4 linked regions of the Arabidopsis thaliana genome follow. The protein of the gene in region 3 interacts with the protein of the main gene of each other region in a pairwise test. Each region holds a gene or a part of one and is shown on either strand. Other genes may lie near its edges. The genes, in order: PTR5, AT2G38330, TRX5 and AT3G52640.

The links.
Region 1: the proteins of TRX5 (region 3) and PTR5 interact in a protein complementation assay, tested with the Arabidopsis thaliana proteins (one large-scale study listed by BioGRID).
Region 2: the proteins of TRX5 (region 3) and AT2G38330 interact in a protein complementation assay, tested with the Arabidopsis thaliana proteins (one large-scale study listed by BioGRID).
Region 4: the proteins of TRX5 (region 3) and AT3G52640 interact in a protein complementation assay, tested with the Arabidopsis thaliana proteins (one large-scale study listed by BioGRID).

Annotation. Positions count from the first base shown.
Region 1 is NC_003076.8:60,483-65,503, forward strand, and holds PTR5 (peptide transporter 5), read right to left. Parts: upstream 3,455-5,021; 5' UTR 3,299-3,454; intron 2,832-3,298; exon of another isoform or gene 2,793-2,831; 5' UTR 2,759-2,792; coding exon 2,650-2,758; intron 2,554-2,649; coding exon 2,336-2,553; intron 2,235-2,335; coding exon 1,684-2,234; intron 1,610-1,683; coding exon 775-1,609; 3' UTR 535-774; downstream 1-534. UniProt on the Arabidopsis thaliana protein: Peptide transporter. Mediates the transport of di- and tripeptides. High affinity transporter. Involved in the uptake of peptides during pollen germination and tube growth.
Region 2 is NC_003071.7:16,062,677-16,067,958, reverse strand, and holds AT2G38330 (MATE efflux family protein), read right to left. Parts: upstream 3,457-5,282; 5' UTR 3,389-3,456; coding exon 3,174-3,388; intron 3,094-3,173; coding exon 2,984-3,093; intron 2,898-2,983; coding exon 2,745-2,897; intron 2,642-2,744; coding exon 2,520-2,641; intron 2,418-2,519; coding exon 2,282-2,417; intron 2,130-2,281; coding exon 2,033-2,129; intron 1,935-2,032; coding exon 1,834-1,934; intron 1,756-1,833; coding exon 1,592-1,755; intron 1,452-1,591; coding exon 1,380-1,451; intron 1,292-1,379; coding exon 1,175-1,291; intron 1,094-1,174; coding exon 998-1,093; intron 912-997; coding exon 790-911; intron 702-789; coding exon 641-701; 3' UTR 522-640; downstream 1-521. Other genes in the region: DREB19 (Integrase-type DNA-binding superfamily protein), read left to right, coding at 1-512.
Region 3 is NC_003070.9:17,074,406-17,078,151, forward strand, and holds TRX5 (thioredoxin H-type 5), read right to left. Parts: upstream 2,013-3,746; 5' UTR 1,852-2,012; coding exon 1,765-1,851; intron 1,129-1,764; coding exon 859-1,128; 3' UTR 537-858; downstream 1-536. Other genes in the region: AT1G45150 (alpha-1,6-mannosyl-glycoprotein 2-beta-N-acetylglucosaminyltransferase), read right to left, coding at 3,210-3,374, 3,453-3,575, 3,654-3,746.
Region 4 is NC_003074.8:19,514,506-19,522,398, forward strand, and holds AT3G52640 (Zn-dependent exopeptidases superfamily protein), read right to left. Parts: upstream 6,040-7,893; 5' UTR 5,913-6,039; intron 5,838-5,912; 5' UTR 5,786-5,837; coding exon 5,701-5,785; intron 5,611-5,700; coding exon 5,497-5,610; intron 5,413-5,496; coding exon 5,298-5,412; intron 4,737-5,297; coding exon 4,654-4,736; intron 4,506-4,653; coding exon 4,429-4,505; intron 4,028-4,428; coding exon 3,950-4,027; intron 3,332-3,949; coding exon 3,260-3,331; intron 3,158-3,259; coding exon 3,084-3,157; intron 2,986-3,083; coding exon 2,853-2,985; intron 2,746-2,852; coding exon 2,674-2,745; intron 2,588-2,673; coding exon 2,468-2,587; intron 2,250-2,467; coding exon 2,178-2,249; intron 2,072-2,177; coding exon 1,931-2,071; intron 1,741-1,930; coding exon 1,124-1,740; coding exon of another isoform or gene 1,120-1,123; exon of another isoform or gene 838-1,119; coding exon 573-837; 3' UTR 368-572; downstream 1-367. Other genes in the region: AT3G52630 (Nucleic acid-binding, OB-fold-like protein), read left to right, coding at 27-91. UniProt on the Arabidopsis thaliana protein: Probable subunit of the gamma-secretase complex, an endoprotease complex that catalyzes the intramembrane cleavage of integral membrane proteins such as Notch.

The sequences.
Region 1 (5,021 bases), on a different chromosome or scaffold from region 3:
TCGTACTTTGCATCAAAAATCAAACCGCATTAGTATCATCTTCTCTTAACTTCACCAACTAGCTAAGTCTGAGTTCCAGGCCTTTCTCTGTGTCTGCATTACCAAGCTTGCATAGAGATTGAATCTTTAAGTAGCTTAAACAAACATAACAAATGGTTTTTGAAGTGAGCAGCATAAGCACACACATCGGTCTTGGTGGTTTGAGTAAACATCACTGAGATTTGTTGTTTTACGATGCAATAGCAAATGTAAAAGTAGCTTGACGTATCAAGCCCAAGTGTTAAGTTTCAAACTTGGGTCTATTAATCAAGTTATATGATCTTTGTTGCTACCTTTTTCCCTTTATTTGCTTTTTTCATTCTCTATTCAAAATCAGCCAACCTTTGCTTGTATTTCCATTCTCCACTGTCTCTCTAATCTGATCAATCCTGCAGGTTCTTTGAAAGCTTGCATTCGAGTCTCAGAGCGTTTGATCACGGATTCATCACTACTATTCTAGTTGCAATCAAAGAAATGGTTTCACTAGCGGAATCTCAGCACAACGCTTGTGTTAAATACAAACCCTTGAACTCTGCAACCACAAAGCAATAAGGATAGTCGAATTCAAAAGTAGTATCTTGTAACCTAAACTCAAGCAAAGAACTTCAAACTTGCTTGTTTATGAAAAATAAAAATAATATCTGTAAATATGTTTCAGTAACGAGATTATCAAACATTGCGACTAATTTCAAATCAGAATTCGTGATTGCAGCCATCGTTATGTTTTTTGTATCATCAAAGCGCATGCCCGGTCGTTTTCTTGTAAGTGTACCATTTAGCAATCCAAAGGTAGACCAAGAAATTCAAGAAACTCAGACCAGCTAATAGCCAAAAGAAGTAATCAAGATGACCATTGTTGAGGTTCTTAGCGATCCAGCCTGGTCTTCCACCTGATCTCGTGACTTTAGTGACCAATGTCACCAGAAATGTGCTCAGATAGTTCCCAAATGCAATTGCGGTGAGCGACAAAGCCGAGCAGAGACTCCTCATAGCATCAGGAGCTTGGTCATAGAAGAACTCAAGCTGACCTATAAACGTGAAAACCTCGGCGCAACCCACCAAAAAATACTGCGGAACTTGCCAGAAAATCGTCATCGGGATAGTCTCTTCATTGTAAAGATTGTGTGTTTGAACGTAGTTTAACCTTGCGACCTCGAGGATTCCCGCAGAGACCATAGAAAAGATGGAGATTACAAGCCCGATTCCAATCCGTTGAAGCTGTGTGAATCCGCGTTCGTGACCTGTGTATTTCCGGGCGAAGGGAACAATTAGCTTGTCGTAGACAGGTGCCCAAAACAGGACACTAAGCGTATCGAATAAGGAGAGTGATGCGGAAGGGATTTTGAAGTTAGGTCCCATGTGTTGGTCCAGTGTGTTGCCTTGTAGTACAAACACAGTCCCCATTTGGCTATAAACCGAAGCGAAAACAATCCCTGTGGCCCAAATCGGTAAGAGACGGATCAGTGCTTTGAGCTCTTCTACTTGTGTCACTGTGCATAGCTTCCATGAAGACGACTTAGCTGCTCCTTTGTTGTCACTCTCTGTTTCCACTGCTGCCTTATCAAAGAACCTGAAATGATTTGAAGTGAGCCAAAAGTTAACCTAACAACACAAAATTACAGACCGGACTTGCTTGTGCCTTACGTTAATATTTTGGTGTGTTCGAGCTTGCGGCTTCCTATGATACTGCTTTCGGCGTCTTGGTTCTCGTAGAGAAGAGATTCATCTTCAGGAATTTTCACTTTAGATTTTCTGCATGAAGCCACAATGACTTGCAGCATTCTTGTGAGAGGACTTCCTCCTGGTTTCTGCAGCCTGTAGAAGTTGCTTCCGGCGAAGAAGAACACGACGGCTATAGCCATTGCGACGGTGGGAACACCTAAACCCCAACCCCAACCAACATTCATCTGAATCCAAACGAGAACAGAGGAAGCAATCATTGCACCAACGTTGATCACAAAGTAGAACCAGTTAAAGAAAGAGCTCTTAGACTCTTTCTCTTTTTCGTCTGTATCATCAAACTGATCAGCACCAAAGGAAGAGACACAAGGCTTGATCCCTCCAGTTCCGAGTGCGATCAAGTAAAGCGCTATGAATGTAATAGCGGTTTGACCCGCTGTTGCGTGACAGGTTTCTCCGCTGCAGGTTGGTGTTAGACCAGGAACCGAAGCTGATATCGTCAATAGCGTCATTCCCTAAATTACAGAAACAAAAAAAAAAAGAGCAAACAGTTTCAAGATTCTGTGATTTTCTTTGTTCACGTTGAGAGCAAACAGAGCAAAGAGTAAATTATTACGGCAATGTAGATGACGACAAAGGAAGCGATGGTCCAGTATCGACCGAGATAAGCATCGGCGATAAAAGCACCGATCAAAGGAGTAGCGTAACATGTTCCAGACCAGTTACTGACACTCTTAGAAGCAGAGACGTTTTCCATATTCATTTGTTTCTCGAGATAGTTGATGAGATTAGTACTCATTCCATAGTAAGCTAATCTTTCACAGCACTCAGTTCCTGCCAATTGCTCATAGATACAATCAAATCAAATTCAGAACAAAAAAAAACGATTTGGTTTTTATTACAACAAAAGATTAAAGGTTTGAACAATACCAAGAATGAATCTGCAAGCTTTCCAGGTTCCAGTTTTATTCTTGTTGGCTGGTTTCTTGTGAATGTCAAGAGTTCCATCTTTTGTGTATATATCCTTGTCATCTTCCATTGTTGTTTGGTTTCGACAAGTTTAAGTGTGACCCCTGAGTTTTCAACAATGTGAGAATTTTTGACCTGATTTACTGAGAAAAAGGACAAAAGATGACTTCTTTGCCAAGTAAAATCTACACAACGATATTTCTACGACTAATTATCGGATTTAGACAGATAAGCCTCCATATATATATATGTGTGACTCCACGAAGAAACAGAATTGAAAAACATCGATTTATTTTATGAGCAATAGCCAAAGTAATGTCCATTACATGCATCATGACAAAAACATAACGCGTTTTCTAGACACAAACTGACAAAATCGGAAGCCATACATACATATATAATTTCGTCGAAGAAAGCTACGGATCTGAAAACTCGAAAACACACAATCGCAAATTTCGTTTGAAAATGAAAATAAATCTAAGAACACTCCTCCCGAAAATGTGTGATTACTAGTAACAGAAATTGTTCATAGAATCAAAAAAAAGACAGATCAAAGATAACCAGATTTAATATTTAGAAACGGTTAATCGTTGGTGAAAGATTCGTTTACCTTTTCTCGGGGAAGCGACGACAGAGTTTTGTGCCGGGATTTGAACTACACGGCTGAGGAAGATAAACTTGAGGGCTTGAGCGTTTCGTTTTGCGCCGTGTGATAGATATTTATAAGGAAACACTCTGAATAGTGAAGGTGAATCAGGCAGTTTCGTGATTTTACCAGTTACGTCCTCGCATTTATTATCTTTCTCTTTGTTATTTTGTTGAATTTTGAATAACTTTCTTGAATCTTTGAGAAGATGTGGGGATGCTAAATCCTATTCATAGTAATGTATCATTAAAGATTGTGGTTGTGTAGGTTTGAATCCCTTTCATTTATATGTTAAAGAATCAAAAATTATAACAAAATTACCTAATTCCTAACAAAAAATTGAAATAGTTATGGAAACATATCTTTTTGTTTTTGATCAAAAGGAAACATATCTATAAACGGATAATCAATATTGTGAACAAAAAAAAAACGGATAATTAATACACCAAATAACTTATGGATTCTTTTTGTGATTGTGTCCAGATTCATGGAACGGTTACATGACACATCGATCATAGAATTGAAATTTATTTCAACGACTCAAGAGAATAGCAGATTGAGAATCTCTGTACAACTTTTCTATTTCTACAACTTCTAGTCAAAACAAACCTACCACACAAAAGAAGTGTTAAGTGGTAGAGAAAGATTAACTTTTTTAACCATAAACTCACAAGAGGTTAAACAAACCTACCACGCAAAAGAATTGTTAATATCCTGATTAGTAGAACTAATAAACTTGTTTGAAAACTTAATGCACACGCATTATCTGTGACCTATATATGGAATAAACAAAATGCGTAAACAAGTTGTAATAGATGTTAATATAACCACGAAAAAACAAAAAACAAAAGTTGAGAGACTATAGAACTATGAAAATAAGTTTAATAGTACTTAAGAAAAAAAATTGATATAATTTTCTGTTATGTTTTCTCAGATTGTTTTCTACGATTGATGCTGTGAAGAACTAACTTGTTTCTTATTGATTCATAATGAGGTTACATCACATATATATACATACTTGAGGAGGTTACATGTCTAATGGGCTAGGTTACAAAAGCCCATAACTACTTAAGTATATGACCGACCTAAGTATAGTCTCCATGGGCCGGACCTACGGGCCGGACTGACTGTGGCTTCTCTCCATGGACCGGGCCGACAGGCCGACGGGCCGATGGACCGATGGACTGATGGGCCGACTGGTCGATGGGCCGTCACACCAATGGGCTGACGGACCTATCCTCCAAAGACATGGGCCACGGTTATGGAGTCCATCCAACAAGTGGTTTACAACACTCCCCCTTGGATGACATAACCGTGTAGATGCCAACGGGATCTCAGTAATACGCTAGGGGAATGCTGCCTCATTAAAACCTTACTAGGAAAACCCTTTTCGGGACAAAACCATAGTGAGGAAAAAGAGTACAGCACGCATTACTCCCCCTGAATTGGTCATCTCTATAAGTCCTTAAGCCTCCGCATCCCAACCTGATGCGCGAGCTTCCTCAATGTCGTTGCTGGTAATGCCTTGGTGAATAGATCGGCTGAATTGTCGCTTGAACGTACTTGCACCACCTTAACTTCACCATCCTTCTGTAAGTCATGCGTGAAGAAGAACTTGGGCAGAATGTGCTTCGTCCGATCTCCCTTGATGTATCCTTCCTTGAGCTGAGCAATGCATGCCGCGTTG
Region 2 (5,282 bases), on a different chromosome or scaffold from region 3:
AAAGGGTTTGGGGGAAATGGGTTGCTGAGATACGTGAACCAGTGAGTCACCGTGGTGCAAACTCTAGTCGTAGTAAACGGCTTTGGCTTGGCACGTTTGCTACTGCAGCTGAAGCTGCTTTGGCTTACGACAGAGCTGCTAGTGTCATGTACGGACCCTATGCCAGGTTAAATTTCCCGGAAGATTTGGGTGGGGGAAGGAAGAAGGACGAGGAGGCGGAAAGTTCGGGAGGCTATTGGTTGGAAACTAACAAAGCCGGTAATGGCGTGATTGAAACGGAAGGTGGAAAAGACTATGTAGTCTACAATGAAGACGCTATTGAGCTTGGCCATGACAAGACTCAGAATCCTATGACTGATAATGAAATAGTGAACCCAGCAGTGAAATCAGAGGAAGGTTACAGCTATGATCGATTCAAATTGGATAACGGATTGTTGTATAATGAACCTCAAAGCTCCAGTTATCACCAGGGAGGTGGATTCGATTCATATTTTGAGTATTTCAGATTCTAGCTTAGGATTTATGCTGCATCAATATACTATGACTATGAGACTATGTTTTTTACATTGTTAGTTTACTCCATTTTCATTTATCTTAACTTAAGAGTCACGCATCATACCGCAAAAAACAGTGATCCGCTTCATTCTGGCTTCTCTGGAGCAGACCATAGCATTTTCCATGGACCGGTTCTTGTCCCCAATCTGAAACATGACGCAGTATCCTTTTAAGAAAAATTTCGGATGGGTTGAAAACTTGAAACTAGAACGGTCTTTTTAATTAATTGTTTACCTCCAGGCTCCAGCAACCAACCGCAACGCCATGAAGAGGAACAAACCAGTCCAGATCCCGGCAAGGCCAAACGTTGGTGCAGCCACAAGCATGAACAAGGAAGATATGAATCCGACAATCACCTGTTCCAAAATGAGAAATAATCAACTTTTTCCAGGTGAAGAAAAGGGAGAATCAAACGACCAATTGATGAAGAAGGAAAAGGGACCATAGAATAAGCGGCAAATCCGAAGTCAGAGACACCATAATAGAGCCCATCCAAAACAAACGCTAGAGCATTCACCGGTTGAGATCCAGCCACAAACTGCATCCAGCCAACATTATTTAGATATTGTCTGAGACTACCCTTTTCAAACTCTTTCTGGATTAAAAGATAAGATCTTACTAAGGTCCCTGACAAAGCAATCTTTAAAACTTCTGAATCCGTTGTGAATAAGCTTGAAAATGGTTCGAAAGTGATGAACAATACAGCAGCCAAACCAGTTCCAGTTGCTAAACCTACCTACTTAAAAGATTGCAATTGTACATTATAACATCGAATATATAGGGTAGGATATAAACTAGGGATGTAATGAATTATGAATACGAACTTGAAGGACTCCGAAGAGAACTTCCCGGGCTTGTTTGTATTCTCCTTGAGAGTAAGTGGTGGCAAGAAGACTCTGAAAATAGAGGTAGAAAATATAAGTGAAAATCTTCTCCCCAAAAGGTAATCTTGGATCATGCTAATGGGATTCTTATATCACAGTAAATCTTGGTAGAGATTGTCTGTTTCGAAGATGATTTGCAAAAGATATTAGACCTGTGCAGCAATGGCTAAAGCATCGGTGAGTAAAGAGACAGCCAACCAGATTTCCAAGACGATTTGATGGCCAGCCATTTGAGTGGGTCCATTTTGAGCTGCTAACGAAGTAGCTAATGTGAATGGCACAAGCAAAGCCACCGTTCTACCAATGAGAAGCCCACCTAAGCATGAATCAATACATTTCATATAGTAGCCTTTCTGAATCGTTTAAAGAAAACTTGAAAATTTTAAGGAATTACCTGATTTGAGGTACTGGTTGGCTCTTCCCACTTTGATTTGAGGAGAGAGCAAAACTACATTCTCATTCAACTTCCATAGAAGAATAAATGCAATCAAGTATCTGAAGAAACGTTGACAAGTGAGAAACATAAGAAGCCACAAATTAAGATAGATATGCTTTACTAGAAAACGAGTCTATTACCACATTTTTGGACATACTCAGAAATCACAGTAGCAGCCGCAGCACCAGAGATACCAAAACCAAGGACAAATATCAGGATTGGATCCAATACCGCATTAAGTACATTCCCCGCAACTGTTGATATAGAGTTCACCATATTAGAAACATGTATGTGAAACTGCTAATGCATATATACGGTCTAGTGAGCTAATGCGCATATACTATTTATTTCCTCAGATCCATTCATGCATAAATACAAAAAAAATAGATGATTGTGCAATACTTGCCAACGGCATATAGAGGCGTTGTTGTGTCCTTGAAACCTCGAAAAGCTCCTTGCGCAGCCAATGCAACAACAATTGGTGGTGCACCATACGCTCGAAGTCTGAGGAACTGCTCTGCTGGTATCCGCATTGGTGAATCCTAAAAAAATTACAAACCGAGAAAGAAGAGCGATCAGCTATACAAAACTTCAAAGATAACAGCTTATATAAAAGAAGTTCAACGTGAGCTTAGAGACATTACAAAAGGTATAGCCATGACATCCATCAAGAAATCAGACCCGAGAGATAGCGCAATGGCCTCTGCAATACCAACTCCAGCAGCAAGAACTAATGAAGTTGAAACCGAAGGCAGCACTTTCTTGCCTTTAACACCAACAAATAAACAACAGATTCAAAGTAAAGAAACAATCTTTGAAGAAAACAATAAAAACATTTTTCATTATAAGCTTTAAGGAAAGTAAAATACTTGTTTCTATAGAATCATTATCATCCTTAGCAGCAATTGCTTGCTCCTCCGCAACAAACGATGTTGTGACATTTAGTAAAGGAACATTGAAGAGCTTCGACACCAAATTGAATACAGAAACTGACACTCCTACTGCAGCTAATTCCGCAGAACCTGTCACATTACACATATGAATGTTAAAAATGTGAACTTTCGAAAAATGTGAAATTGTTGAAACCAAGCAAAAAGTAAGTATTTACCAATATGGCCAACGAAGGCAGTGTCGACAAGAGATGTTATAGGATCAGCAGCTAAAGCTAATGCAGCAGGTAATGCAATTGACATTATCTCCATTCCAATTTTACCAATCCTAAACCCAAAAAAATCAAATACATTAGAAACCATTCAAAGTTGAATACAGAAGAAGCATTATTAGGCTAAGGTACGAACCCAGGATCCGGTTTGTGATCATGATCCGGTTTATTCTGTGAAGTCAGAGGATTCTGCTGCTTTTCCGGTCGCTGAGAAGAAGTGGAGACGGCTGGAGATTCATCGCGAGGAGATGATTTACAGACGATTGTTCTTCGAATGGATGAATTAGGGTTTCCAAAACGTGACGGCGATCGATGGGGAGAGAAACAGAAGGAGGTAGCGACCGCCGCCATTGCGGAGAACGAGAGACGGAGAAAAATCTCGGCGGAGGAGGAAGAAAGAGAGCCACATGTTGATGTTCACTCTTTTTATCTATCTCTACTCACTAACTGATTAAACGGTCACATGTCTAAACTAGCTGTACCTTATGGATGGGCCTTTAATGGGCTTTTTATTGGGCTTTTAAATAGCTTGTTTGTTTGTTACTTTGTTTTTTGTTTTTTTTTCTGCCAATGTTACACTTTGTATCTTTAAGATAGCTTCATCTTTTTTCTTTGTTGTGCCGTGACTCTCATATGTAAGTCATGAGTTTGATTCGTGTATTATCACTCACTTTCTCAATTTAGCAACAACTCAAAAGAAATATCTCTTTCTCCAGTTATCTTGTGACTTGGATTTGCATTTTTTTTATACACTTAAAATTTTGTTTAGTTGTTTTTTGAATGGATCCAAATTTGGATTATAGGTCCGCATATTTTGATTTTTGGGAGTATATTTGAAATCCGCATATCTAGTGTTCAAGAATCTTGATATAGAAAGTTGTAAGATCATTTGATATCCTAAAACTCAGAATTCTTTTTTTGGGTTCAAAAGCAATAACTAGTTCTTAAGAGCATATATTGGGAAAAAATAAAAATAAAGATCAAGGACGTGTTTCATGATTCAGCAGAGTTGGTTTTTGTTTTGTTTTTTGGGTTCAAAAGCAGAGTTGGATTTTAATAGATAAAGAAACATAGAGTACAAGAGTAAGGCATAGAATTGAAGTCAGCCAATTTACATCGAAAATTGGAGCGTTAGTTAAAAGAATTTATTGAGAGAGTTGCGACGCCGTGCAGCATCAGCAGAGCAGCCTCACATGACTTGCGGTCCCAGCAAATTACAGAAGAAGAAGACCTATCCTCTCTCTTTTTGAACAACCTGATTATGCACGTTGAAATACAGTAACACGTCTAACACTAGTATCATATTAAGTAAATAATACTAAATGGACCATATAACTCTTCATTCAACTTTATCAATAATGTAAGTTTGTAAGGTATTAATTAAATACCGGGGTTTACTTCTCCTATGATTATTTTATAACATTAGAATTTTGTAGTAGCATTAGGCTGTATTTTGAAAAGAAAAAACCTTTGTAATAGCATTACTATTTTACTCAGTAGTTAGAAGATGTGTTAGGAACTTGTATATGATTGGTCGGATCGATTACTGATTAAACCTTAAACCGTTGCTCATTGGTCTTTTTTATAACAATTCATAATATAACATATGAAAGAATGAAATACATATAATATATAGCTTGGGAACGCGTTCTCCTAAATTCCATACAACAGTTTGTCACTAAAATACCAAATTAGTAATTCTAAATACCAAATTATCCATTATTGACCAATACTGGTTATCATCCATTCCAAATTTAGATATAGACATACTTAGTGGCACAGGCTGTATACAACAGTTTGTCACTAAAATTCATTGTAAATGGCTACTTTCTCCTAAATTCAATACAACGTTTTACGTTGCAACCTTTGCAAAATATAATGATTTTTACAACGAAAATGAATACTACATATCCCAACGTTTTGACTATATTATAAATCCCAATGTTTGCAGAAAGTCACTGGACTACCAAGACAAACTAAATAGTTATTTAGTTTAAACAAGCGAGATGTATAACTTCTATATACAGAGCAACTATCTTTGGTTAGAACTCCGGACCATAAATATATTCGTACTAAATTGGCAAAGAAACAAACATGCATAGAATTCAAATTAGAAATTAAATTTCCGGTTTCTTGTATTCGATCTCTTTTTCTTGAATGTTACATAAATTCATGCAATTAACATATTAATAAGGTCTCTGAAGAAGAAAGTGAAAACGTAGAAGAAGAATCACCAAGAATATGC
Region 3 (3,746 bases):
ATATTTTGAGTTATTATCCCCAACCTTCATCCATAAACTCCTACTTTTCTGGTACCAATATTGTTCTTCATCTATATAAGCCTCCTTCAACCGTATTGTTAAATCCGTTATCTCCTCACTTGTTCTCGAATCATCTCTCTGTGCCGCATCTATGAACTCATTTTTAATATGAACTATGAACTCATCTTTTATTGCAGTAGGGAAAACTGATCTATCCTCGTGTGCTATTGATATGGATTATTTTTGTAGTGGATCACTAACCAAGTCCTACCAGCTCTAACCTGCTGTATGCAGTCTGACGCTTGTTCAAGTAGAGTCACTATGTGTCTATGCTAGTCCCATCGACAGGCCTACTCTGACGCGCCTAGAGGGAACGAGCGGCTGGCTTTGGATCTAAAGAGCATAGGGAAATGTTTGAATCTACAGGTCAGCTTCATCTTCTCTTGTTTTCTCTGTTTCAGTTCTTGTTCAAGGATAAAAACAGAGAAACGTTGGATAAAACTTCAAGGAACTTAAAGAGATATAGACGTGACGTAGATGGAGAAATATGAGCTGTTGAAAGTGATTTTTCCATAGTATTACATAACATTTTCACACATTTATAGTGGAAATCAGAGAACTAATCACTGCTCTGTTCATAACTACATATTTTCAACCTACGCTCTCTTATCGTGTTTAAAACCAGTCTTAATGTGTGTCGCTATTTTCGTGTTCGTGGTTGAAGCCAAGAGATAACAAACCAGTAATCGAAAAATCAACATAGTTATAATACAAATGTGCAGTAGCAATGCATCACTTTTATTTCATACGAAAGATAAAAACTTTATTATGATGCAAAGAGTTAGAAACTGAAATCAATCAAGCAGAAGCTACAAGACCACCATGCTTCATCAGCTTCTCATTGATCTCATCTTTCGCAGCACCGACAACACGATCAATGATGTTGCCTTCTTTCATGAAAACAAAAGTAGGCATTGCCTCAACTTTGAATTCCTGAGCAACAGCTTGCAATTCATCAACATCGATCTTGAAGAAGACAACATTAGTGAACTTCTTAGCCATCTCTGCAAACACTGGTGCAATGAAACGGCAAGGTGGACACCATGATGCTGTGAAGTCTATCACAATCTGGTTTCAATCAAAATTTCAGAACAAATCAGAACACAAACATCATTCACCACTAAACTAACTAATCAAGAAAACCCTAAACCATAACGTAATCAAATCAAATTGAAAAAAAGCCCTGGACATAACAAGAGAAAGTAAAGTTTCTATAATTTCAGACCATATCAGGATACAATTATCATTCACCACTAAGGTAGCTAATCAAGACGAACCGTAATCCCTAAGTAAAGTAATCAAATCAAATTGAACAAAACCCTAGACAGGACAAGAGAAAGTTCTAGCTTCTATCAATTTGGGACCACCAGAGCAAGATATGGGACAAGAACGGGATCAAAAGCAACCGTTTCTCGAACATCATTCACCATTAAGCTAACTAACCAAGAAAGCCCTAAACCCTAAGTAACGTAACCAACTCAAATTAAAAAACAAAAAAAACCCTAGACAGGACGAGAAAATACCAGTTTCTATCAAATTTCAGACCAAATCAAGACATGGTACATGAACATGATAAAAACCAAGGTTTTGTATCTAACATGAATTACCAGTTTACCACTAGATCAAGAAAACTGAAAACCCTAAGTAAAGTAATCAAATCAAATAGAAGAAGAAACCCTAGAGAGGAGAAGAAGAGAAAAGTACCAGTTTCTTGGATTCATTGGCGTCTTTGACCTTCTCGTTCCAAACTTCGAGGGTATGGCAAGCAATCACTTCTCCTTCACCGGCCATTTTTATTATTTGTTCTTAAGCTTTTAAGAGTTTTGTTTGATTGATGAGTTTTTTTTGGTGAATGAAAGAATTATTCTTGTTGGGATCAGCTTTTATAGGCAAGACTTGACCACCTATACCTCTACCTCTTCTCGGTCTTTTTTTTTAATTATTTTCCTAAAATGAGTTCGATCTTGACGCGTAGGAGTGTGAAGGGATCCAACGGTTTATATTAAACGATTAAAGAATAGGCATGAGTCTAGGTCAACGGCGTGATGATGGTAACGAGTAACGACAGTTCTAGATGTAGAAGACACGCATGTTTTGTGTGCACGATATATGAGTTTATCCGTTCTTTTCTCGTCCTTGCAGATATAAAAAAGTAACGTTTGTTTTTGTCGGCACGAATATAAGTTTTTTTCTATGTGATAATTTGTGGACTATTCCGAGCTTTTAGACGTGCAAAGTTGAATGGAAACTTTATCTAAGACAATAAGAAAAATATTATCTATAATATGCTAGATTTATGTTTTGAATAATAATGCAAGCTGTTTTTGATCAATCTTCTTTATTCCTCTAATAAATCAAATTCTAGTAATGTTCTTTCACTAATGATAGAACCGAGAGCTGGCTGTATGTGTGTTTACGCTTTGACACTAATTTTATTCTCAAACGACGTCGTTTTAGACTGATTAACAGTCACTAACGGATAATAACGGGTTTCTAGGTTCTATTAATTACTGATAAAAACATGTCTATTTTGGTCAGGTCAACGAATTGTTCATATCTTAAATGGTAGTCAACGTTTAGTTCATGTTTTAAATGGCCAAGTTGATGTTTAAAATGACCACAATTTAAAACTTGACTAATAAAGTCGTTAACAGATGATAACAGACGTTAGAAGTTCCGTTAATAACTGATAACATCATGTCTATTTTGGCCTGGTCGACGAATGATCATGTTTTAAAAGTTAGTCAACGTTTAGTTCATGTTTTAAACGACCGCATACGAAGTTGACGAATAAAATGGCCATTTTTTGAAAGTTGGGGATTAAATAACATTTTTTCCTAATTTTTAGTCAGTGTAGGTTTTATATCCTTTTTTGTTGGATGATTATGTCTTGTGCCCTTCCATTCATACGTGACTATGATGAATGATATCAACCTAGCACCACATAAAATGAGCTTTTTCAGATACAGTATTTCCCAACAAATTAAAGAATCAGAAGTACAAAGCAAATCTATCTATTTTATTATTTTCATACTAATTAACCTTTTTCACTGGTAATCTAGACATTGTTAGAGTTTTCTTGTTATGTTCTTTTATTATTAACTTAGGGCTAACCGAGAGTGTTTATAGATACTAAACGATCTGGTTACTCAAGATGGTCTACATGTGTTGTACACTTCTCCTCGCAATACATCGATCGGTCTATGTTCCAAAGTGTAGCGCTCCGGCCCCGTGTACACCCCTGTCTTCTCCAATAGCCCCATCGCTTCCTCTCTTCCGTATTTTGACTCATACAGCTTCAAGTACTCATAATCCTGATTCATTCTCCAAATAAGCCAACTGGAACAGTTTTTCGTTGTTATCTGATTGGTAAAACTATAAAGTTGACGTACCTGTAAGCCACTAAGAAGGCGCTCTAGCCTAAGTGAAGCAACTGGCTCTGAAGAAGATGAGAAAACTTCACCGGGGTAGTAAAGAACTCCATCACCAGGAGGAAGACCGCGCCTAAACTTTACCTATTCATTTGGTTATATAATATCATGAAGCAATCGATCAAGAAACATTTACAACAGAACTAAGGATAAGAAAATAACCTCGGCGCTTGGAACCGTTGCCTTCTCATAGCAATTTGCACCCCAGTACAAGAACCCGGTTCCACCTTCTTTCCACACACGCCACATCACTGC
Region 4 (7,893 bases), on a different chromosome or scaffold from region 3:
GTTTTGGTTGTTATTTTTGGTTGCAGATACACAGAACTACAACGAGCTATGTAAGCTAGCAAATGGGGAGTTCAAGCACTTGTTCATCTAATGTTGTGATGATGATTATGATCATGGAAGCGATTCCATTAAAACATTTTGTAGAGATGCTTATGCTTTATATGTATTTGATGTCTCACCACTTTCTGGTTCTATGATTTTATTTACTTAGTATATGTAACAACTTCTTAATCTATCACAACTAAGCTTAAATTGCTGTTTTGTTAATTGAGGTACCAAAACACAAAACAAAACACTATTTTCTTCTTGGCAGCTAAGATTTTGCTCTGGATTTAGAATTGTATTGTTGCTTTATCTATAGGATTTTGTGAAAGCAAACTTTTTTCTTATAAATTTCTTGCCAGTGTAATAAAGAATTTAACATGAATTAGCTCAAAGACATATTTTAATAACCTTGGTTGAGAAAAAAGGTTTCTACCACTAAGGTATTGGTGGTGTTGCTGGTTAGGCAATGTCTTACGGAAACTGACAAGTAATTTTGAGCCGAGAGGAGAGGGAATTAAATACAAGTCTCAGTCCTGCTTCAAGGCTTTTGTGATGATTGACTTAGCAGCCAAAATTCCGATGTAAGCCAACGTTGTGACTGTAATACCTGCAACGAGGACTGCATTGTCGTATGCTGAGTGCTGGACTGTGTACACATGCACCCTTAAAGTGTCCCAGTTGCTTTCGGTCCACACTGGATCAACCATCCCCATAGAATCTGATGAGTTCTGTGGTAGAATTGTCCAAGCTCCATCGTTATACTTCAATCGAGTTGAATAAGCTGGAACATACCTGCCAAAACCAGAACTTAATGTGTTATGCTCAGACAGCAAATTGGTTAGGTCACATACAACATATCAGGTCAGGGGAAGAAGAAAATGATGATAGCTTCAATTCAAAGGTCAACAAACTAAAGATAGACTTTCTCCCAAGTCTAAAAACACTCCACTTCTGAAGCCTATCCTAATTAATAATTCCTATAAAATGCCTACCAGACTTAAGATTTTGGTTCATTTTGAGACATAAGAGAGAACTTGAGCATGCAAACCAAATTGCAATTTCCAAGCACAGAGTTTACCTGGTTGTGGAGACAACACATGTTCCTTCCTTGTTGCTCTCTGCTTTGATGCACACTTCGTCAGTTTTGCTACAGACTCCTTTTGAACAAACTGAGGTTGTATTTCCCTTTTGGACAGATGTTTTATCTGCCAGAAAGTTCCATAGGAATCTAGAAACATCACCGACGTAACCAAGGTAAGGTTTGGAGGAAGGTTCTCCGAGGATGACGCCAGCATAGTTGCCTGGACAAGTGTTTGTCGGTGAAATATAGTCTTTTACCAAGTTGCAAGATAAGCCCGGTTCACAAGCTAAAAGACAGGTTAGAAGCTCTTCAACGAAAGAAGCATTGACATGGATGGATCCCAGAGCTGAATTGCTTGTATCTTTGTTGTCACTTGCTAGGATGTAAAGTGTTCGGGCCACAACAGAAGCAGCAGCTACTACAGACGAGGAGTTGATATTTGCTGCAATACAACACCAGAAAGGAATCAAAAGTGCAAAATGGGGTTTGGAGCGAAAAGAAGAGAAAGACAGGCTGTGACTCTTCTTACACAAGTCATCGAGGTGACTATGGTAGAACTTATTCACAAAGTTGGTATCAAAGTCTTCAAGTACAACAGCTGAAGTCTGAGGGTTCTGCAACAATGAATATGATGTTATACCTTTTTCACTCTAGGCAATCTGGTTCAGAATCACATAATAGTAAGCAAGTATACTTCTCCTGTCATATTCATGATCAACTGAAGGTGAAGTATATGCAAAGAGTATAGTGCGAATACACATTTGAATTGTCTTCCCATCTATTTACTTGGAATATATATTGTACCTTTCTCATGAAAGCCATCAAGGAGGATGGGGGTATTCCAGGGTTTGCAGTATCTGCTGAAAGAATTTTGATGTTTTTTGATGCAAGTGAATCCTGAGCTATCTTTAAAGCATCCAGTGTCATGTTTGTAACTGAAGAAACCTAAAGCAGAACACCAAAAGTGGAGGTTAAGTCGCCTATGACAGTTTTCACATTATCGAACGAATTCGAATTATGCAAGAGTTTCAGGATATCAGGAATTTCTCACCCTTGTTTTATGAGCAAAGAAGGTGTTTATCCCTCCACTTAAACCTTTTCCAACAGATCCTATTTCAAGCACCTGTTAGATAATAGAAGAAGCAATCTGAATTCGATCTTTAGATTTAGAAAATTGTGAACATTCAATTTCACAAGGAACACTTAAACTTGCTTTCTGCGCTACTAAGAAACAAATAAGTTGCAGCAACGATGAAACACAGGCAACTTTTTCCACAGGGATTTCATGCATAAGGCTAGCTGTCTCTATCAACTTTGTCAGACCAAAACAATAATGATTACCGTTTCAATCGAAGTATTGCTAAGGCCTGCGACAGCATCTGAATGCAGATCTAATTCGTGTAAGAACCTCCTGCTGCCAAGGTAACCCCATGTCTCTCCGGTCAGAACCAAAAACACAAGCTGCATTCATTTACGATTTACATGTATTAAAGCTTGCAAACAACAAAAAGCGTGAAATAACACTAAATCACATGGTACACTGGCACCTGTTTTTTGAGATTACTAATACCATCAACTCGAGAAAGAGCATCAACTGCTCCTAGAAGAGCTACCAGACCCTGAAAGAAGGAGAACGTGTTGAGCAATAAATCGGGAAAAGAAGAATAAGAAGAGTAAATAAATGTATTCTAGATCAACCCAAAAGCAGAAAATAGCAAGTTCTCACAGATATTGGTGAATCTGCACCAAAACTTTTGTCACGGAAAAATGATGCAGTATCCATGGAGGCCACAGTCAGCACAACTGGTTTGCGATTGTTGGAAGACGAAACACTGATTGGTGGAAGCGAGGACCAAACACTGTCCTTCATAACAAAGTTGTTAGAAAACGAAACGTATCCTTTAAAAGGTTTTCATATGTCATTAGATCAGACAGTAATAAAGACCTAAATCTTTACCTATATCCGCCCAATGGGAGGCAAGTTCCCTCCTGCAAACAAGCCTCCGAATTGTGTGTTCCAGCTTTGGTAGTCTAATACAAAAAATAGAGAATTGGGTGTCATAATCTAAGTCAAAGTGAAGATCCATAAAGCTGGTTAACGTTCCAGTGAGCAAGATTGCTAAAGCCATATACCTCCATAACCATATTGAATTCAGCAACATCACTGGTATATGTTCCATGCTTCATCTTTTTCTTGGAAAGGATCTGCGCAAATATAATAGGATGTAAATATGTAGTCGATAACCTGAAAAAAGTGAAGCTATCCACATAAACTATACACTTTAGATTGCTACCAACACAACAGAAACATAAAGCTAGCTTCTTGACAGAACCTCATCTGGTAAGGACAACAACATACTATAGAATGACATAGTTGACCAGCAGTTTAAAGGCAACTACCACAAGACAAATGGAAAGGCTATGGTTGAGTCCAATTACAGGCTATGGAAAGCAACATGCATTTGAAATCTACAGATGCAGCTGGGAGTTGCCTTCAGCTGGATGAGACAAACATTCCAGGACCAAATTTGTATTCTTATTTAAAATGGGTAATCAATGCTTAGAAAAATTTCTGCAGACTAATTCAGTTTAAACTAGGAGTATTCATTTCATATGACCTTGGAGATACATATCTCATGCATCATTTTACAGCCATATTTTCATCAAGCAATACTGCTCTTAAGAGTGACCAACAGTCATAATGCCTCTCTAAGCCTTGAGTTCATTTCCTCATATTTCTAAAAATGTCATCAATTTCGCTTTTCTGACAACACAAATAGACACATTTAAAATTTGCAAAAGAATGCAAGTTTGAAGGATTACCTCATGCACAGCTGATATGCCACTTTCTGACAATAAGTACACAGGAAAATTATAATTTCTCCACATGATGCTTGATGCCTGCAAATAATCATTTTTTAGCAATGGTCAATGGCTAGAGACTTATCGCCTGCAACTACTCATAAGAATCAAAATCATTTTTTCTCCGTAGATAACAATAAGAGGAACTATCTTTTAATTAAGGTAGATAAATATGCAACAGATTTTTGAACTTCTTTATAAGTGATCATCTAGGCAGATACATGCATTCCTCCAGTAAAATTATACCATAAGAAAAGGATTTATGGTATTTGTGTGTTAGCAGGTAGTTAAGTTTAGTTCCAGAAGAAAACAGCATATAACTCGGAAATGCTTGACTATGGATTTGGTGATAACTGATTGAAACAATTTCCAACCCACTATAAAAGAGTTGACAGGAAGAAGTAATTTCAAAGATCCAGACAGAGTTTACGCTACCGTACAGCTGAATTCCATTTGTACTCAACGTTTTCATAGGGTGAAAACTGGGCTTGAGGAAACCTTTTATCAGGAGAAAACCCTACAATAAAGAAGAAAGAAACACTAACGCCATCAACATAGATAAGAAGTATCAAGTACTATTTTTAAGGGAATTAAGAACTCAAGACAATTTAAGGAATTAGCCATTCAAGTTGACAGAATCATAAATATGTGGATGGACATAGTACCTTTTAACTTTTGTTGGAAATTAGATCCTGATTCAACTAGAACACCACCAATTTTGCTAGCAAAGCTCAAATCAGTTGACACCCTGGAAAAGGCACAAAGAGGAGTGGTCCTGTTATTTCTACTGAATAGAGTGTCTAAGCGATGTACAAGTCTAATGAACAATGCCAGAAGTAAGCCAGACTGCAGGGTTCTACAGTAAAGTGTTTGGAGGTATACCTACTTTCCGTTAGTCGAATGAAAATAAAGCGGAAAAAGCCAATGAATTACTGGTTCCACTAAACACCTAATCCATGCACCAACAACCAAGTGACTACATTTCTAGCAGATTTCAAAAATGGTGATAAGAGGGTATACTCATTCCAATCTGTTGTTTCACTGTCATGGAAGATTACTAAAAGTGTTTGCCTTAAATACTCAAGTACTAATGAAAACAAACTCTTAGATATACGTTATTCTTAAGGATGTAATTGCCTTTCCAAAAAGGCTGATTTGGCACCCAAAAGCTAAATCTTGTTTGACGTTAAATAAAACACCAAAATGAGAACTACAAGCGAGTGGGAAAGCACTACTCCACAAATTAAGAGATCACTAACAAAATCGAATAGAGGTCATGAAAGTTTTGTAAATGAAAAAGGAGACATGCCTGGTAAAGAAATCTTCCATTTCATCAGCTGTAACCAAAATAGTGTGTGGCTGAACCAAATCTTTAACGTCCTTTAATTTTATGATTGGAGCCACCACTTTATTTATTCCAGGATCTGAGTATTTTTATAAACATAAAACTTAGAGGACCTCATCAACAGATAAAAATCATGTAGCTGAGAGGCCCAAAAGAAGCTTACTTGAACATCCAATCTCTCCAGACAGATTGAGAAGACGTACACAAGGAAACCCATCAACAGCAACATACATTAGCTTCTGAAGGTCAGGTACAGATTCAATAGATGTTATCTCATCTACACAAAACGAAACCTCAATTTCAGATTACAATGTTCTATCAACTAATACATTTCATCACCAATTTTATCCGGGGAAAGGAAACTCACCAGCGAGAGAGAGATGAAGAGGAAGGATTGAAAGTAGAACAAGTGTAAAAGCTATAGAAAGAAGACGAATAAGTCCCATTGCCATAGCATCCGTCAGAGAGTTGCGATTATTAGCGGAAGCTACTTGCAAATCATCGCTGCAGATACGATCAAGAATAATGTGACCGATTTTATAAAAGATCAAAAAATGTTAGAATCGGAAGAAGCAGTACCTGGGAAACGAAAAAAGGGGAAATTGGAAGAGAGAGCGAGAGAGAGGTCCGATTCGCCGGAGAAATGGAAACCTAGCTCGGAATTACGCGGTGGGAGTCTGAGTCAAAGACTGAGATTTTTCGTGTTGATTCTTATGTCTTTCAAAATTCCCAAGATATAGAAAAATTGAGGTATTCACATTTTGTGCGGATTTTATTATATTAAAAGTAATTAAGTGAACCTATCTATATATATATTTTTGCAGCCATTTTGTAAAATAAATCCTAGATTTGGAACTTATTTACAATGGCTGCCACTGGCTTTTATTTATTTATTTTCTTTTAGCAATAAATTGATTAACAAACAAAAAATATTCCAAATATATTCCAATCCCATATATCACGCAGATTTCTCCAAAATTTGAACTAGATTTCGGAAATTATTTAAAACAAAAAATATTTGACAAACCAAAATACAATTGCAATCCCTTAAAATGAGCAAAACGCACATAAATACATTTCTTATCAGTTCACTAAATCTTATTTCTCCAAAATTTGAATTAGATTTCGACAACTATTTAAAACAAAAATTTGTTTGACAAACTAAAATATAATTGCAATCCCGTAATTTTTTTTTTTAAATTAGCGGTGTACTACAAATTTTTTTAACGGGACGGGTTTGGCAGAACGGGTTTGGAAGGATGTTACTTAATAACAATTGTAAACTATAAAATATAAATATTTTATAGATAAATATAATTTACAGACTTTTATATATACTAATTTTAAAAAATAATTGTCTCCGCGGTGTACCGCGGGTTATAATCTAGTTGTTTATACAAAAAGAAAAAATATTTTCATTCCACATTTTCTTTTTTTTTTTGTAAGAAATTTGTATTACATTTTATGGCTTCATTTTTACAAAATCGTAGACTAATTATGATTGATTAGGGTATTATTTGCTAGATTATATAGGCAAGTTTTGGCTAAAAATTGATAAAAAAAAAAACATATTGTATATGGTAAAACTATAATTTTAAAGAAATTATTCCATATGTGATTTTAACAAATAACGTAGATCATGTATAAACTGCATGTTAATTAAGAAAAAACTAGTGTTAATTTTGAAAACAATGTGTAAAAAAAATATAAGGCGCAAATTCTCATCCAACTTGAAAGTTTTTTTTGCATAAAAATCAAATTTGTCGTATATTAAGATCGGTAATAAGCCGTAATATAAGATTGGTCGCATCATAATAAAAAGTGACTACACCTCCTTGATAGTCTCGCTTAGGCATCTTTTAGGTCATATCAATACAACATACACATATACATATTTTTCAACACCTGAGGTGCGCGAAGATAGACACTTCTTCATCCTCTCCGTAATTCTCAAAATTAGGGTTTTCTTCCGGCAGCTCTCTCAGGTACTTTCTCGCTCTTTCTTCTTTCATCTCATTGCGCCTCTCTTCGTTTCCTTTCGTGAATCTTTTTTTTTGGTTGGGGATCCAAAATTGGGATTTGTGTAACTCTTCTTATCTTAATTAAAAACTGAATCTTTCTCTCATTTTTGTTCCAATGATTGCTAAGTTAGCTTAAACACGCCTTTGATTGACATTTCTCTGAGTTATAGCTTTGTATGTGTATTGGGTTGTTCTTGGTTGTATCTATCATTGTGGTCAATTTGTGTGAAATAATCAAATAGAATTGTAGTTATAAGCTGAGGATTCTCTTAACAGGTTAGATTGGCAGCATAAAAAATATCACTTGCAAATTCTGAACAATGTCTGTTGTGGGAGATTCTAACATGGAGCTGGAGTTTTCTAAGCAAAGATACTATTTTGACTTTAGCCCTTCTTATCTTTCTTGTTGCCATGAATATTTTAACCTTCTTTGCATCTAACCAAGGCCTATGATATCATGGTTTTTATCCGCTCTCAGGGGTCATTTCGTTTCTTATCTTTTTTTGTTTCACCTGTTGAGCATTTCATCGCCCTCTTCT